Bombyx mori: one gene and its partners. The protein of the gene in region 2 interacts with the protein of the main gene of each other region in a pairwise test. Links are inferred from orthologs where the notes say so. Each region holds a gene or a part of one and is shown on either strand. Other genes may lie near its edges.

Region 1 (6,075 bases), on a different chromosome or scaffold from region 2:
TGGTTAAAGTTTCGCTAAAATAATGGATGTCAGAATTATTCCCCTTTAAAAGATCTAAAAAAAAGTCCACGACAGCATAATAATATGTCTATATCAGCCACAAGCCAACGCTTCGGCCGATGAACAACATCTAATTAGCACCTATTACGTCACTTGTAAGTAAATCGTAATTAATCGATTGTTGTGGATATTGTTTTCAGGCATATCAAACGGCGGTCGTCGAGTCGTAAAAGCCCTATGCGAGTATACGGCTCGAGCGGACTCCGACATCTCGTTTCACAAGGGCGACCGCATGGAAGTCCTCAACAGCTCGGAGCCGGATTGGTGGATGGTGTTCCATCTGACCACGAGGAGGGAAGGCCTGGTTCCAGTCAATTACGTCGCCGAAGAGAGTTCAGTGGAATGTGAAGAGTGAGTGTCGAAACCGTTTTAACTTGATTTGGTGTAAAACTTTGTTTCACTCTTCTAGTCTTCAGCTTTTTATCTTCGTATTAAGACCATAAACAATATTCAATATGTTTGTGTTTAAATATAGAGTTCACTTAAAACCTTATTATATCGAGCAAAATTAAATATTTTTAATTTTTTTTTTATCAAGACGGACTCATTTTAAATTTTTGAAACTAAAATAACAAGTAACTGCCGCTAAGCTTTTTAATTTTAAGATTTAAGAAAAAAAACTTTTCTCATTATTTTTCGTTGGCAGGCCCTTGTATTTTGAACATAGTTTATGTTTCATTTTGGTGTATATAATTTATAAAAGGAATGCGCATTTCGATTTTTTCTTAATATAAAATGCTTTACTTCTACTAACTTCTATACTAAGCGGTGGCGGTTCGGACCACCAAGGCCTATCATTAACGGCGCCCCTTCTTAAAGGCAGTCATGTTGCAGCTGGTTCTTTCCTCACGTGTCGAGGAAGGAGGCCGACAAACTCCTCCTAGCCGAGAGCAACCCCCGCGGTACGTTCTTGGTCCGACCGGCGGAGCACAACCCTCACGGCTTCAGCTTAAGCGTCAAAGATTGGGAAGACGGAAGGGGCTACCACGTGAAACATTATAAAATAAAGCCGCTCGACAAAGGCGGTTTTTATATCGCCACAAACCAAACCTTCCCGAGCTTACCCGCTCTCGTCATGTCGTATACGAGTAAGTATGTTTTCTTTGTTACATTAAGAACTAGCTGATCTGACAGACTTCGTAGTGCCTCAATCGATAAATAAAAGATCAAATTTTTTGTATAAAATAAACTTAAACAAAAGGAATTCGTCCGACGGGGGACACGTCAAAGGAAAAACAAAATTGTTATTTTTATTTAATTCCGAGCATTTTCATATTTATCTACCTTTTAAACCTTCTATGGACTTCCACAATTAATTCAAGACGAAAATTAGTCAAATCGGTCCAGCCGTTCTCGATTTTTATCGAGACTAACGAACAGCAATTCATTTATATATATATAGATTAAAAATAATTATCAATTGAAGAGGCGCGGAGGGTTCGCGTTGTTTCCCGTGCGCTATGACATGTCCTTTTTTAAACGAGGCTTGCAGTATTCATCAGTGACCTGACTCTGCTTCTGTATGTTAACCACTACCATTGGGTGGGCCGTATAATCGTCAGACTATAAGAGCAATAAAAAAAACATTTTTATATGAATACGGTGGCGCCCATCATAATGGAATATTTAAACGTCTTCAACGTTCGGAAATGAATAAAAATAACAACTTTGTTTTTCCTTTGATGTGTCCTTCGTCGGACGGATTGTTTTTGTTTGTTTTAAGTTTATTTTATACAAAAATTTAGGTCTTTTATTTATCGATTGAGGCACTACGAAGTTTGCCGGGTCAGCTAGTCATATATACCTAGTCAGGTCATAAATTCTGTCACATGTTTAATGTAAAATAATTGAAACAAGTTTATTTATTATGTAACCATTCATATACCAAAATGAACTTAACAAAATATAGATTCTTATGACACTAAAGCTTATTCAAAATGACCTCCGTGATTTTGAATACAGGCCTTCAATCTGCGCGGCCAGTCGTCTATCGCAGCACGAACGAGGTCCATGTCAATATCGGCGGCTGCCTTAATCAAGGATGTCTTGAGTGACTCCAAATTGGGATGAGGCTTTGAGCACGCCTTTTCCTTCAAGTGTTGCCATATCTTGTAATCTAACGGATTCAAATCTGGACTGGAGGAGGGCCAGTCTTCGTGCCGGATGAAGTAGATTTCACGCGCCGCCAGCCAGTCATGTGTGCTCTTCGCTCTATGAGCTGGCGCCGAATCTTGTTGGAATACCCAGTGCCTGTTATTGAACATGGTATGAGAAACAGGTTCCACAAGGTTCGTCAGGACTGTATTTTGATACACAACTGCATTCGTTTTTACACCTTTCTCACAAAAATGTACCTCTGTTAAGCCCCAATAAGAAACTCCCAACCATACCATGAGCGAGGATGGAAAATGACCTCGTTGGACACGCGGAATACGGTTGCTCGCTTCTTCACTACTGTGTGCGTACACCTTATCATTTTGTTTGTTGTAGCTCTCTTCTACGGTAAAAATTTTTTCATCCGAAAAAAGAATTTCCCGATATTTTTTTCCCGCGTACCGCTTCAACAAAGCGCGGCATCTCTTCAGTCTCAGGTCCATTAGACGAGCATTCAAACGATGTCCTGTTTTTCTTCGATATGCCCGAAGCCCTAAGTATTCATTTAACACCCTTTTCACCGTGGTTCTGTTTAACCCCATCTGAAGGGCCAACAGTTTCTGCTTACGTTTGGGATTCTTTGAATTCGCGCCTTCACAGCTTTTATCACTGCTGGAGTCCTAACAGACCGAGGGCGACCACTTCTTGACCTGTCATCTACACTAGAGTCTTCATTGTATCGTTTGATGGTACGATAAACGAATATTTTGTTTATATTCAAATTTTTCAGTATGTTAAAAATTTGAATTGGCGCGTAACCGCAACGATGCAACGCAATAACTGCAACACGGTCTTCTTTAAGCGTCCACTCCATATTTAAAAATGAGTAAAATTCTAAAAGTATACATTTTTATTTTCATGAACAATTCGAAATTCGAATTCAATAAACTTTTTTGTGACCAGCATTCTAAAAGAAAAGTTTTTACTGTGTGACAATACTTATGACCTGACTAGTTATTTTTATTTGTTTTAACTGATTATGTTTAAATGTATTACATATGTACACACATTGACTTGTTTCTGAAATAAATCATTTTCATTCATTCATTACTGTGATTTTAATAGCCTCGATCGAATTCAATTCATTGACGTAGACCGCGTTATCTAAATAAAAGATGCTAATTGTTTCCAGAAAATGCATTAGGGCTGTGTCACGTCCTGGCCCGGCCTTGTCCGAAGCCCGAGCCGCAGATCTGGGACCTCGGGCCCGAACTGCGGGACAAGTGGGAGATACCCAGGATGGAAATACAACTCATTAGGAAGCTCGGTCAAGGAAACTTCGGCGAAGTCTATTACGGGAAATGGAGGAATAATATTGAGGTAACACGGGTTAATGTTTAATAGATTAATTATAGGAAAAGTTTCAATGCTACGATTAGAAGACTTGGGTCTGAATGTTGTTTAGAACTTGTGTCATATGCGCGAGCATTCTTGAAATCATATATTCGCCTTTTACCAACCGTTACCTTAGGCACCCAGTTTTTCAAAGAGAAGTGTTCGCAAGTGTACTTACTATACGAGAGCGATCCCTTGCTGTTCGCCATTATACTATGTGCCAACTCACACTAAAATGGTGGCAAGGCCTGATTAAATCGACATCTCTTTGATTTGTTCATTTCACTTAACTTGATTCGTGATTCACGAAATTTAGAATTTACTATTCTTGTGGAAAGAGCTCACCGCTGCTCATCTTCCTATTCGTACACTCTTGACAGAGTGGTCGTGGTCTTGCGTCAATCGGATCCTGCGATACCGATGCTCTCGCGATGCGACGCCATGTGGCACGGTGTTTCGCAGAGTGAGAGCAATCGTTTATGTTGGAGTGAGTCACAGATTTTATGTCCTCATGGATGGATTGGAGAGCAATGGAGTCCACATTACGAGTTATGTGCCCGAAGAACTTGAGGATTCGTATATGGACTGTTGACGATAGTCTCTCCTTGATGTTGAGCTCTTTCAGGATAGAAATGTTGGTACGGTAGAATTGCTCATAGAAATCGGCAAAGATATAAAGAAAAAAGTCTACCTAAGTTTCAAACTGCAATATATGTCAAGTTTTTTTTATGTTGCAGGTCGCCGTGAAGACTCTTCGCGAGGGCACAATGTCGACTCAGGCCTTCCTGCAAGAGGCGGCGATCATGAAGAAGTTCCGGCACAACAAGCTGGTCGCCCTGTACGCCGTCTGCTCGCAGCAGGAGCCGGTCTACATCGTCCAGGAGTACATGAGCCGCGGCTCCTTACTGGAGTTCTTGAGGAACGGCGAAGGGAAGTTCCTCCAGTTCGAGGACCTAGTTTACATAGCGGCCCAGGTCGCCTCCGGTATGGAGTATCTCGAATCGAAAATGCTGATTCACAGAGACCTGGCCGCTCGGAACGTGCTCATCGGGGAGAACAATACCGCCAAAATATGCGACTTCGGTCTCGCCAGGGTCATAGAAGACAACGAATACTGCCCCAAGCAAGGCTCTAGGTTCCCAGTCAAATGGACAGCCCCCGAAGCTATAATATACGGGAAGTTCTCCATCAAAAGCGACGTCTGGTCGTACGGCATTCTCTTAATGGAGCTTTTCACATACGGGAAGATTCCGTACCCGGGATTGCACGGCAAGGACGTCATCGACAAAATCGAGATCGGCTACCGGATGCCGAAGCCGATAGACGTGTACCTGCCGGACGCCATATACGGGCTGATGCTGCAGTGCTGGGACGCGGTGCCTGAGAAGCGGCCCACCTTCGAGTTCCTCAATCATTACTTCGAATCGTTTACGGTGACCAGCGAGATGCCGTACAAGGAGGTACACGATTGATGCTGTGATATAGTGACGTATAGGACGTTCGTTCTCTGACATTACGAGGGTAGGTGTGTATCGATTTAAATACGCGTTAGTACGATCAATATCGATACGCGAATCGATTAAGCGAATGCTTCTTACAATGATTTTAATAGCGGTGGTAGGACGTGACGTGACGAGCTATAGTATAACGGTTACTAAAATGCGATTGAGACTGGCCTCACTTCTCAAAGTGGTTGGCGGCGTTCACACTGCAATCTCGGTAAGCCGTCATGTACCCACATCGACGCCTAAAACGATAATTTAGTTCATTGATGTTCGTTGTTGTAATAAATAATGCTGCTGTTTTATAAATCGATTGAATAGTGTTGCGATTCGCACTCGACGCATCATCGACTCGAGAGACGTTTAGTAATTTTTATACTCTGATGCAATATTTATATAACAATACAGGTATGTGTGAGCTTGGCCGGTGGCTTTCACTCCCATTAATGGGTTCGTTGAGAAATTTGATAAGATATTTAGCCTAAGCCGAATCGACTCGCATCGTTTTGTACCAAAACACGTTCGTATAATAATATATTATAATTTCTTTCCCTGAAAAAAAAATATAAAACTGTAAATTGACGTGGAATATAATTACGTTATTTTACAAAAACGGGTCTAAACGAACATTAAACTTCTCAAGCACATCCCTATTAAAAACACCATTTTGAAATTTTTATAAATCTTAAAAACTATCGACATCACCATGAGATTTTTATTAACCCTTAAATTCACTTTTATTTATTTATTGTTAATTATTTTTATGTTGTAAAATATTTGTAGATTTAGATTAGAGAATTGATGTTTGAAAATTCAAAAAAAAAAAGTATATCAAAATCAAAATGAAAATGATTTACGTCACAGTGAATTTAAGGGTGTTGTGCTGGTTTGCAAATTCTAATTACCCCTATAAATATCAGACGAAAAAACATGCATACAATGACTACATTCTACATTATAAGTATTTATATAGTATGTCGGTCACTATGTTATTTATGTAGCTTTAGCACCAGTAAGATATTAA
Region 2 (6,724 bases):
CAACTAACTACCTGTCATGACGGCTACTCTCTTACGAACATTGTTTATTGGTATCAAAACCCCCTGATTCTTCAGTTCTGCTTCACAAAACTCCTTCACCTTCAATATTATTTCACGACCGGCACTTTTTACAACTTTAGACATCGTAAATAATAGTTTAAATACGACAATTGAATAAAAAACGCAATAGTAACGAACACAACAACACTTGACAGCACCTGATAACGACAAATATGGCCGATCTGTCATATTAGTTCCATTTATCCCCGTGGGACTTCTTCCAGTTTAGATTCATTCAACGTTCTTTTCAGCTTCCTAACTATTATATATTTTGATTTCAATGCAAGACAACGTCATCTTCACAGGAAACATCAATTAATTTGCTTGATTTTATTCTCTAGATGAGGATTTGCGACTTTTGCTGTGCTTCCACCATTAGTTCCATGGAGACGGTCGTTAATGGAATCAAGAAATTTGTTTACTTGAAGAGGTGGATGGATGAATTGGAAAAACTACCTTGTTTTGAAATCAACAGACGTGGCTTAGAGCGATTGAAATATTTTATGAGTCTTTACAAGCCAAACTAAATGAACCATTTTATTATTCAAATGAGTAGATGATTAAATTATTGGTTTGAAAAAGCTACAAAGTTTTTTGATCCGCAGTATCGATGCTTCCTAGTTCTATAGCACCGTATACTGTCGGCCCGAGGGAGAATACCTAAACGACTTAAAGGTTATAGTTTGGACAATTGAAGGGTCGTTTGTTACACGCAAGACTCTAGGCAACCAATGGCGTATTACCTTAGCGTCAAATGGGATGTGGCCTTTTTTTTTCGGGCATCGGCCGAACCTCAGGTGCAGACCGTCAAATCCCACATACCTTGCATGAGGTATGTGAGACTTGACAATCTGCAGATGTTTCGAGCAGACCACGGGTCCAAGGATGCTTAAGGGCCCTATCCACCAAACGACCCCCTTGCACTCTTTCAACCGACGTCCGATCTTCACCTGGGGTCAGAACCCAGTCAGAGTAGGGGGGCTCCCGCGGTCAGCACTACAACCAGACTCGTGGTGCCAACCCTAGGACGCCCGACCGATAGGTCGACGAGGCCATCGTTGACGACTCTACGTCGGCCGTCTCGGTGCGGTAGCCCGACGGGCCACCCCAGGCAGTGGTGCTGGTGTTCCGGAATATCCCGCTGGACTAGAACCAGCCAATAGGAACGCAATATACCACCAACCGGTTGCTCTCACACAATAGTTTCGTGGAACTGCTGCCATGCAGCGCGCTAGAGCGCAGGTACGCCGTGCGGTAAATGGGATGTGGTCATGGCGCTGGCCCCAGCTAGGTGAGGCCGTAGGCTAAGGCGTAATCGTAGGTAGCCTGGTTCGGGAGGTCAATGGTTTTATTGGTACTCCAACCATTATTGATGACGAGCGTTGAAGTCTTGGACCATTACCTCCACAAATGGTTACTTTGCTCAAGCAAGTGGTCAGTCCTCTCTTGCAAATGCTCAAACTTTTTGGCATGGATGATCTAGTGTGCTCACTGGTTGACAGGGTTGTGTTTGGACTTAATAAAATAAATTCGTGTTGGTAGAAATGGGAGTATTTGGAATTTAAAAAACACAACGTTGAAATGATTAAATTTTGATAGATTTTCTTTGGTTGTCAACACTGAAATTTGTTTAACCTTTGCACAGTAACATTCAAAATGACGACTTTGACGCCAACTGCTGCACCCGGAATTCGGTGAATCAACAGTCCGAAAAAACCGAGATCCAGATCCAAAAAACTGACTTTCTCTACATCTAACATGAAGTTTGTGTGCGAGAGAGAAGGTCCATTCATTAGGTACAGTTTTAAATGTGTTAGAAAGAATAAAACATAATAGTAGAATATCTGTTATGAGTCCAAACTCTCCGGACTATTCACACCCGGAATTCGGCGACCTCATTGTAATCAATGAAACGAGATGAAAATAAATTAAATAATATCAGTGAAGTAATGGGAGATTCGTTAAGCATTTTGGAAGAATCCGAAAAGCTGGATGAAGATTTTGTTTCAATTTTCCAACATGTTTCATTTTAAACGACATATAGAATGCAATTAATAGTTAAAATTAGACGATAATGCCTGAAGAAAAACAGAAAAATAAATCATTTCACGCAACTTGACATTTCATATTCCTGCCAGAAAGTAAATAATATTTATCAGTCATTATGGTCATAGACCTATGTCAGTACCTTCCATGACAGTGCCAAGTACAATTTCCTTTCTTTAATCTTTACTCCTTCACTTAGCTTAGTCTATGACTGGCTGCATATTGATTGGTCGACGAGGAGATGTAAAAAATGGCTGCCTTGCCGTCTCCTACCCAGGTAGAAATTAATAAGATTTACTGAGTTGTTTTTGATTAAATTGCTTAAAGGAAGTTAATTAATCAATTTAAAGAGTCCAGTTTTAGTAAAGTTTAGTGTGTGGTTACCAAAAATAACCGGTTTTAGTAATTTAGTGTGAAGATCGTGTTAGAAACAAATTTATTTGCTTGAATTTAATGTATTGACGTATTTATCCCAACAGTGTTCATTTAATGCCCATTTCGTAGTCAAAGACTGTGCCTCAGTTATGGTGAATAATCTCTTTAATAATTTATTAACCTCTTAATTAGTTGGTTGAATAGTAAATGTTAACAATTAAAACATATCTCGATTAAAAGTAACGCCACCTCAAAAGTGATATAAACAAGTCGAAAACAAATATTATGGTGATCTAAACGGTGTCAATATGTGGACTCAATCGTTACAGGTGGCAGGGACCCACAGCACGATATATGAAGCCTACTATCATCAGGTAAGTGGAGAGTTCATACATACTTACATGTCTTGTTGGTCATTTTGGTATATTAAATAAATTTGTCATCAACCCTGCTCTTGCCTAAGTGATCTACGAGTACATTTGTATACAAATGCATAGTTTAACTCATAGATAATTCGACTATAGCTGATAAATTTTAAAGACGGAATTTTGTATTTATTAACCAATCTAAAAAACCCATCAGATTACATATTGTATTCTCTAATCACTGATGAGATATTAGGAAACTTTAAGTATTTTATTTTCATAAACAGTTCTGAATAAATATTTTAACCATAAATTTAAAGCCGGTCGTCAACTAACTTCCTCCAGGTACTCAGTTGCCTCTGGTTGTTAAATCATTTTTCAAAGAGATGTCAATGACTAGAACAGTGATATTGCAAAGAAATTAATTAAAATATAAATAGATTAACATGTTTGCTGAGTTGGTTTTGCTCATTTTATAACTGTTGGTAGAGTTTATTTTGAAATTTAAATCTTCCTCAAAGAACCCTTCAGTACACTGAAATAGCACATGAGTGGCTATTCCAAGCTTATGATCACTAAGATAAATGTCATATTGTGTAAAATATAGGCATATGTGTATATTTATGTAGGCTCATTTTATGTCACAGTGTGTGTATGTAATTTGAATAGGCTATATCTCACTAAATTATAATTATGCCGTTGGACACTTTTGTCCTCCTTCAAATCTTGCTGAGCTTTACCTACATGAAGCTGTTGTGGCCTAAAGTATAAGACACCCAGTGAATTCATATTGAGTCATGTGACTGACCCAGTATTGAAGTCCTGCAGGCAGGCATCAATTTTTGTGAGGAAACAAGTACTTAAAAATGAGTTCACTTTACAAATGACTTTTGTGGTAAAAGAATAACATTGTCTTAGAAATCAAACTTGCAGAATTACTGGTGGTAAACATTGTAAGATAGATCAGTTCTGTTTAAATTAATGAATAGATTACTTACTCTACCAATTCAATAAAAATGCACAAAGTAAATACCATCTCAGACGTAAGATCAAATATGATAATGAAATTTGTATCTTTGATATATATGGTATATTTTAAGATTAGTTGTGATTGCCAAGAGGTGATAAAAAATGTGAAATCAGATAAATTTCAGTGTTGTGTTTTTGGTCATTGCAGCAACAAATATTTTGTACCCAAATGTGAAATAAGTTATATCTCAACCCTTCTTTACTTTAATGAATGAAATATGGTAATAATTCTCTCCAAATTGTTTCATCATTGGCCGTTTGTTGGTTTGCATTAGATCTATTTTGAGCAAACTTTAAGTCAAAATTTGTAACTAAGAATTCTGATAAATATATTCCTGTAGCCCTAACCAGCTACTTCCAGTTGACTCCATACAGAATATAGCCGTTCGGATTTTGTACTGTATGTTCCACGGAGTGCTCTGAGGAATTGTTTGAGATGATCCCATAATTTCATTTTTACCATCGCATCGCCCGCCACCGATATAGAGTTCATCCATACTAGAGCCAATGTGTTCATCCACACAATTTTTTGCCATGTACCACTAGGGTTTGGAATGAGCTTCCTTCCATGGTGTTTCCCAAGCACTATATGCCCTTCTTCAAATGAGGCTTGTGGATAGTATTAAAACGTAGGCAGCGGCTTGGCTCTGCCCCTGGATTGCTGACGTCTAGGAACGACAGTAACTACTCATCATCAGATGGGCCGTATCCTACATAAGTAATAAAAAAAAGTTATGATTTACAAAATTTTTATACTAGTGCTAGATATAAGCATAGGCCAGTACTGTTGGATTCTTGATTGTAAGTTAAATAACTTAGAGGCTGTGTGCACATTACAACAAGAACAGATCAGGAAATGTGTTGCTCTAAACTGGCTCTGATCTAACATGTTGGTTTCTTCAATTACAGATGCAATACTTCCTTATTGTTCCTTATGTGCTCTATTCAGTGTATTTTCTTGCTTTTTAAATCAGTACTTACTAATATTGGAAATGCAAACATGAATACATAGGCGGCACTGAAAATTTCGGGAATTAATGAAGTGACACAACATTACTATTTAAAAATGTATTTATTGCTTTTCGAAGTATTCTCCGCGAAATTTGACACATTTTTCCATACGATGGAACCAATCATTGAAGCAACCATTCCATTCGGAAGTTGGCGTCTCCAAAATGGCCGTTTTGTAGGCGTCCACAGCTTCTTCAGGTGATGAAAATCTCTGTCCACGCAATTTATTCTTTATTTTAGGGAAAGTATAGAAATCATTAGGGCTTAGGTCGGGGCTGTACGGCGGATGGTCTAATAATTCTATGTTTTCTTGCTCTAAAAACTCTTTTGTTCTGTGCGCGGTGTAAGAACTCGCATTGTCGTGATGGAGGATGATGCGGCGGTTGCAGTTCTCTTTACGGAGTTCAGAAACGACCTGTGGCAAACAAATGCTAGCATACCATTCTGCATTAACCGTTCTTTGTCCCTCAAGAGGAATAGTCGTAACATGGCCGGTTTTGGAGACAAACGTGGCCACCATTTTTTTTGCAACACTCCGTGAACGAACAATTTTTGTTGGCTTTAACTCATTTTCGAACACCCAAACTCGTGACTGGTTTTTTGTTTCGGGTTCGTACGCGTATATCCAGGATTCGTCACCTGATACAATGTTGTATACAGCATTTGAGGATCCTGCGTGGAATCTTTCGAGAGTTCTGACGCACCAAGTAATGCGACCCGCTTTTTGCTCTTCACAGAGCGAATGCGGTATCCATCGGGAAAACAACTTTTTTACACCTAATTGTTCATGCAAGATTATTTGTATTTGACTCATGCCAATGTCTAAAGTTGCCTGAATTTCGCGGTATGTCACATGTCGATCTTCCTCAATCAGCTTACGCACAGCATCAACGTTTTCTTGGGTCACTGCAGTTTTTGGACGACCTTGACTGGGATCATCACTGGGCTTGACACGTCCATGTTGAAACTCAGCAAACCTGCGATAAATTGTGGTTTTGGATGGGGCTTCATCACCAAATGCAGAAATCATCCGGTCAACACATTGTTTTTGTGTTAAACCATTTCGAAAGTCATAATAAATCATCGCTCTTGAATTTTCTCGAGTCAATTCCATTTTTTCAACGACTAAACAAGTTTGACAAAACGTCGTGACAAGACCGAGAATCTTTTTTTAAATAAATAAATGGTATTCGATTTTTAAAACCAAGGAGTTTTTAATTAAAAAGATTTTAATATGACAGGAACAGTGGAAATATTCCATTCCCGATACTTTTAGTGCAGCCCTCGTATGTTTGTCTGTTTCACATTTTAAAGCTAAACTTTACAATACGATTATAATTGAAGAAATGATGCCCCTATTTAACACCTGTGATCCTCTTATCGTTAAGATGAAAACCTAAATCAAACAATTTGCCAGATCTCGAGTTTTTTATAGTAAAATAGACTTTAGTTAACACTAATAAAGCACGGAGAGACTAAACCCTCTAACCCTCTAACTAATACTCTATGGTCCTCTGGCACACTCAATTTTAAGTATTTTTCCTTTGGAGTTTTGTTTTACACTTATTTAAAGGTCACATTGTTTTATGGTTAAATCAAGAGGCATTTGGCATATGAATATGAAGGTGGGTAGGCGAAAAATTCATTCTGGATAGGATTTGGGTAAAATCCTTTCTCAAATGCCAAATTCAAAGTTCATGGTAATGGATGGATTCAGAGATCTCGTGATGAAGCGCTACATACATATAGCGGAGCAGTCTGACGGACCTTATTACGATTACAGGTGGACCCAAACGGCACTGGGGTCATTCAAGCGCTAGACGCTGCTCGGTTCCTCA
Region 3 (6,547 bases), on a different chromosome or scaffold from region 2:
TATCGCTCAAATAAAACATGAGACCATACCACAGCATTTTTGGGACCTCATTAATAATAATTCACACAAAAGTATAATGTTCATCCATACTACATTTTTTTTTTAAACTATATTGAAATACATGAAATTCCATTAATTTTTATTTGCAAATTTCGATTGATCATGATCATAGAATACGCCTACTTTTCAAATTTCATCTACTTATATAGAGGCGTTTACCTTCAAGCGATTCGCAATTTAACTACACAGTAGGAAAACCGATGTGTGCCTTTTTAGTGGCACTTTATATTAACTATACCTAATTCTGTATGACAATTTTAGTGATTTTAAATAGAAATTGATGGCCTTAATTGACCTATTGCCATATGAAATAATGTATTTGTGTATCTTTCATTGTTGAAATATGTTTTTTATTTATCACCTTAGTAAGCACACAAGTGTATGGCCCACCCGATATTGTGTAATTATCATCATTCATGGACATTATCAATAACAGATGCACAACCAGACCACCCATCATGCAGAAGAATTATGCTAAAATGAATCAAACTTAATAAATTTCCATAATTAGTAATGTTGCAAAGTCGGTGATACCTACTGTACAATTGAAACTTAGACCTCATGTTGGGTGATAGCATTCACATTATAATGTCTATGGCTTCCAGTTACTAATAAACCAAGTCCACCTTTTTTTTTTTTTCGGGCCGAGGGCCGAACCTCCTACGAGGTCCCCGCGCCTAGGGGGCGCGCGGGGTATGTGAGACTCAACGATCTGCAGGTGTTGAGAGCAGACCGCGGGCCCAAGGAATTTAGGGCCCACCCACTAAACGACTCCCCTGCACTCTTACACCCGGCGTCCGATCTCCGTCTGGGGTCAAAACCCGGTCAGAGTAGGGGGGTTCACGCGGTCAACACTACAAGCAGACACGCGTTGCCACCCCGAGGACGCCCGACCGACGGGTCGTCGAGGCGATAGTCGACGACCAACGACGTCAGTCTCCGCGGTACGGCGGCCCCACCAGGCCGCCCGGGCGATGCCGCTGGTGTTCCGGGATACCCCGCTGGGCCAGAACCAGCCTGCCGGGTCGGAACGCGATACACCGCCGACCGAAACCAAGTCCACCTACAACATGTCCTACCTGATCACCTATATATATAATTTTTATTGGTTAGATGGTTGGACGAGCTCACGGCCCACCTTGTGTTAAGTGGTTACTGGAGCCCATAGACATCTACAACGTAAATGCGCCACCCAACTTGAGATATAAGTTCTAAGGTTTCAAGTATAGTTACAACGGCTGCCCCACACTTTAAACCGAAACGCATTACTGCTTCACGGCAGAAATAAGCAGGGTGGTGGTACCTACTCGCGCGGACTCACAAGATGTCCTACCACCAGTAAAGATCCTGAAAGATTATTTTGTTTAACCAACATTTTGCTGAAGAAGTGAAATGTAACTTTGTAATTAAAGGTGCGTTTTACTTGGTATTAGCATCAACAATTTCATGTTTTTAATTTAAACTTAATTAAGTTTACACCATGCAAATGGCAGAATTTTTTTTTTTATATTTTATCCCAATTTCATACTTTAAATGGCTCTCAGTTTTAACCTGTAAATTTGCATATTGTCGCTCAAACCAAATAAATAGTCTTTCACCTTTTGATATTAAAAATCTTTGTAAAACCCTGTAACGAAGTAACATCATATTAATTTGGTTGAAAAACAACCATTCTGATTTCAAGGGTGGGTCAACATATACATATATGTACAATATAATAGATACTTTGACCTCCGGGGTGAGTAGCAGCATCCATTTTAAGATATCAATGGGCTTCAATACCAAGTGGAACATGATCATTAAAAGAGGTAGGATTAATGTTTCTTTAATAATGAAATGTTTATTTTGGAAGATGACCTTCAATTAAGGATAAATGTTTGTAATATAATTATTATTTGTAATTATGTATTGTAATGTTTATTATTTTATTTGTAATGTTTATTAAAGGATAATTGATTTTATAATTACTTGAATTCATTATAAATCCTAACCATCATTAATTAAATGTAACTTTAAATATATTATTTATATTACAATTACACTGCTTATTCATTTTTGTTGTTTGATTATCATTATTATGTAAAGTTCTAATAGTTTTATACCCCAGTAAAGTAAACTTTAACTACTTCCTTAACCATTTGCTTTTTTAGCGGATGATTGATTGTTGGCGGGCGGTTGTTGACCTAACCTCCGCAAACCTCACTGCCATAAAAAAAACCTGTACTGTAAAGAAAAATTCCAGACTTAGAAATCATGTCTCAAGTTGGGTGGCACATTTAGGTTGATGATGTCTTTAGGTTCTAGTAGCCACTGAACCAACCAGGTGAGTCATGAGCTTGTTCACTCATCTAATAAAAATTCATCACATATATGATATCGAGAGGGGAAAGGGTATTTGGTTTAAGCAAAATTTTTGCAACTTTACAGGCAAGCCATTTAAAGTTTAAAATTTGGAAAAAAAATCATAACATAAAACTTCTTCAGTCATTTGAATGGGGTAAACTTAATTGAAGTTCAATTAATAACATCCAATTGTTGATACTAATACCAAATTAGACGGACCTTTAATTACAATGGTAAATGTCGCGTATTAAGCAAAATGTTTCTTAAAACAAATAGCCTTTCACTGTCCAAATAAAAAATCACAGATACTCAATTGGCGTAAATCTCTTTTTTTTAGTTGTTCTTGAAGTGATAACATAAAGACAGATCCTAGCTTGGCACCATTACTTATGGACTATGTTGGTTGTTATGGTTATTAACAGTATCAATAAACTGCCCAAACATGGTCAGTTTACTGACACTTGCTCTAACATTGATTAACTTATGTGCAATTATTGACTACAAATTCAATTATGTCGATTTAATTCATCACAATTATAACCCAAATATCATTCTTATTCTTCACCTTATCCCACTAGGTGGGACTGGCAGAGCTAATTTTTCTCTTCCATTCTATTCTATCAGCTGTCAGCTCAACACTCACTCATCTCAAATATCATTATCAAAGTTGAAATATATTATAAGAGTTATAGATATATTTTAACCTGCAGTTTCACTAGTATTAAATCAAGAATAAATGAATTAACTTGATATATTGATAGCATGGTTCTGTGATTATAATAATATATATCTTTGGCTTGACATAGGATAACAGAAAAAGTTAAATATAATGATTTTAATGTACAGACGTAATATCGTCACACTTCTGTATTAGTTGTATGATAAACTATAACGGGCGGGGATGTACAGTGCCGAACTATGCAACACGTAGAGCATTCTTTGTGTCGCGTGAATAATTTGACCTTAACACTTTCGAGCGGTGCGCGGTCGCAGGTGAAGGGTTCGCACTCACGTTTAGCTGCCTGCACGACATCCTTGACTTCTTTGATGAGCCGCTTGATCTGCTGGCTGGTTCGTTCTAGTTCCTTTTCGTGACGTTGGAGATTCTCGCGGAACTGAGGGCTGTCCGCGAGGCACTCGGTGAACTCTAGAGGCTGCAGACCCACGCCCATCGTCATCCACTATCCACTCGTTTTATGATCACTCGCGGTCACAACACCTTGCACTTTCACCGACCGCCTATCGCGCGGGACATTGCGTTTTACCACTTCACACAGCTAACAACACTGATACGTTATTACGCTGACTTTAGTACCCTTATCTACGATGATATAAACAGAAAATTTGAAAAAAATACGGCAGTAAAATTCCGACAATACTGCACGATTACTGCGTAGCTGTCAAACTGTCAACACAAGGTAGCTTTTTGGGTCATAAGCGTCTTGATTTGATAAACTACCATAAAACATTAAGTCGTTAAATTGATTCAATTGATTCTCCTAAAAACCACTGTCTTAGGCTATTATAAGATAATTTCAGTGTGAAAAAACTCAAAACTTTATAAGCAATTCGAAAAGTCGAGGTAGAAAATAGGAAAAACTAATTGAACGTTTTATTTAAGTTTATTTACTGGTAATTATGTTAAAAATATTAACAGTAGCGATTCAGACTAACCATTACTATTGATTTTACCAAAAAATAATTTTAGTTTAGTTTTATTTGCTTAGTTTTTAATTTTAGTTTAATTTAAAATAATAACTACCAAAACATAACATTGAGAATTGGTAACACCATAGTCATGTGGCTAGTTGCGTTTCACGCAGATCATTTATTATGTCTTAGTCATAGATAATAATATATATTAGATAGACTGGTATATTGGTCTTAGTTCAATCAAACACATATTACATTTTTATTAAGTAGAAGGTATCAAAGCATGTTCGCTTTGAGAGAATTAATGATATAAAAACCTAAATTGATGGACTTGACGGACGGAAGGGACGAGTAAAGTTCGGTTATTAATTAAGGCAAGACGCGCTCCCTCACAGTACTTTTTCCACCATTAAACAAAAAAAAAACTATGAATAACTCTATAGCAATATAACTTAAATAAACTAAAAACAATATTTATAAACATTGTACCGGTTGTGTAGGTATTAAGTACTAGGATTCTCATATCTCATTCTCATTTTTGATTGGTGGTAGGATCTCTTGTGAGTCCGCGTTGGTAAGTACCACCGCCCCGCCTATTTGTGCCGTGAAGCAGTAATGCGTTTCAGTTCGAAGGGTGGGGCAGCCGTTGTAACTATACTTGAGACATCAGAGCTAATATCTCAAGGTGGGTAGCGCATTTACGTCGTAGATGTCTATGGGCTCCGGTAACCACTTAACACTAGGTGAACTGTGAGCTCGTCCACCCATATAAGCAATAAAAAAAAAACCTCGAAATGTCTTTGCATTTGTGACTTATAGAATAATAAAAATTGTTAAAAGCAATCACACAAGAACTTCATAACTGACACAAACTTTTCTTATGCGGGATTTACATTACGAAATTAGTGTCATGCATGTTGAGCTCAGTTTCACGAAAGTAGTTTCGATATATGCGAAAGTAATTTCGTTAAAAAGTTGTACTCCATCGTTAGTTTGTCATTTTCAACGCTTGAAGCGCGTCCGAACTAACAATACACACGTCCGCACTGCGGAGGCCCTTTCGCGACATTAGTTTCACGTCGCGTCTACACTATGAAATTAGTTGCATGACACTAATTTCACCAAACAATCGCGCAGGGCACGAAACTAATTTGCATGAATGAAATTAACGCATGCATTACGAAAGTATTAAATTACACGTGAAACTGTTGGTAAAACTAATGTCACGAAATTAATTTCATGCCACTAATTTCGTAATGTAAATTCGCCTTAAGTGTTTCTCAACATGTAACAAAAAACCAACAATATTTATACGATAAACATTTATTATTATATAAGCAATGTCTAAGCACTTGGTACATTAAAGTCCATTCAGGAAGTAGACTTCCCTTTTCCCTTTTCATCTGCGGCAGTCTCCTCCTCATCATCAGAGTCTTCGTCGTCGTCTTCATCGTCGTCATCGTCCTCGTCGTCGGACTCAGAGGAACAGTACGAATAATCTCCTCCCTCAGCAGCACCGTAGTCGCCTGATAACGTGTGTTAAGTGGTTACTGGAGCCCATAGATATAAGATGAGATATAAGTTCTGTCTCAAGTATGGTTACAACGGCTGCCCCACCCTTCAAACTGAAACGCATTACTGCTTCACGGCAGAAATAGGCGGGGTGGTGGTACCTACTCGTGCGGACTCACAGGAGGTCCTACCACCAGTTTTAAGAATTCGGAATAGAAAATCATATATGATAAATTTCTACAGCTATTCTATTGCTGGTTTTGCGGTCCAGCTAAAGCGGCTTCCGCCTTTTTTAATTACTGCAACGAGCAAATTATGCATTTTGAATTGCATGCTGGGAAAGTGGTTACGCCAATGAGTTGCATTCCCAAAAAACCGCACGTACCGAATGCTTCTAGTAGTTACTGAAGACCATAGGCACGGTTCCCAAGTCTCCGCTGTATTTCACAGCAACATCACTTTCACTTGATCACGTGACTTACAATCTACCCTTCTAATTATCTCCTCGTGATTAGTGTATCTATCTATTCTATGTATATATAGGTATATAAAAATGAATTGCTGTTCGTTAGTCTCGCTAAAACTCGAGAACGGCTGGACCGATTTGGCTGATTTTGGTCTTTAATTATTTGTGGAAGTCCAGAGAAGGTTTAAAAGGTAGATAGATATGAAAATGCTCGGAATTAAATAAAAATAACAATTTTGTTTTTCCTTTGACGTGTCCCCCGTCGGACGGATTCCTTTTGTTTGTTTTAAGTTTATTTTATACAAAAGTTTAGGTCTTTTATTATTATCGATTGAGGCACTACGAAGTCTGCCGGGTCAGCTAGTTTCTAATAAAACAGTAATTCCGTGGTACTCTGACATTGAATCTAGCAAGTATAGAAAGCTTAGCATGTCTGCTAGTAAACCCACTGGGCTTAATATATTTGCTTTCCCAGTACTATATACACAATGGGAATGCTTTTGGTACTTTAAT

The links.
Region 1: the proteins of epidermal growth factor receptor substrate 15-like 1 (region 2) and tyrosine-protein kinase Src64B interact in a two-hybrid assay, tested with the Caenorhabditis elegans proteins (2 studies listed by BioGRID, with this or other methods). The link is inferred for Bombyx mori from reciprocal best matches to the Caenorhabditis elegans genes ehs-1 and src-1.
Region 3: the proteins of epidermal growth factor receptor substrate 15-like 1 (region 2) and rho GTPase-activating protein Graf interact in a two-hybrid assay, tested with the Caenorhabditis elegans proteins (2 studies listed by BioGRID). The link is inferred for Bombyx mori from reciprocal best matches to the Caenorhabditis elegans genes ehs-1 and T04C9.1.

What each region holds. Positions count from the first base shown.
Region 1 is NC_085117.1:16,859,637-16,865,711, reverse strand, and holds part of tyrosine-protein kinase Src64B, read left to right. Parts: intron 1-200; coding exon 201-411; intron 412-894; coding exon 895-1,148; intron 1,149-3,346; coding exon 3,347-3,534; intron 3,535-4,286; coding exon 4,287-5,021; 3' UTR 5,022-6,075. UniProt on the Caenorhabditis elegans protein: Non-receptor tyrosine-protein kinase which plays a role in endoderm development by controlling spindle orientation in EMS blastomere, probably downstream of receptor mes-1.
Region 2 is NC_085125.1:126,324-133,047, reverse strand, and holds the start of epidermal growth factor receptor substrate 15-like 1, read left to right. Parts: upstream 1-2,321; 5' UTR 2,322-2,356; coding exon 2,357-2,383; intron 2,384-2,585; coding exon 2,586-2,633; intron 2,634-2,810; coding exon 2,811-2,855; intron 2,856-6,669; coding exon 6,670-6,724. Other genes in the region: glutathione S-transferase 2, read left to right, coding at 402-587.
Region 3 is NC_085120.1:1,627,807-1,634,353, forward strand, and holds the start of rho GTPase-activating protein Graf, read right to left. Parts: upstream 3,856-6,547; 5' UTR 3,582-3,855; coding exon 3,416-3,581; intron 1-3,415. Other genes in the region: zinc finger protein 330 homolog, read right to left, coding at 5,428-5,582.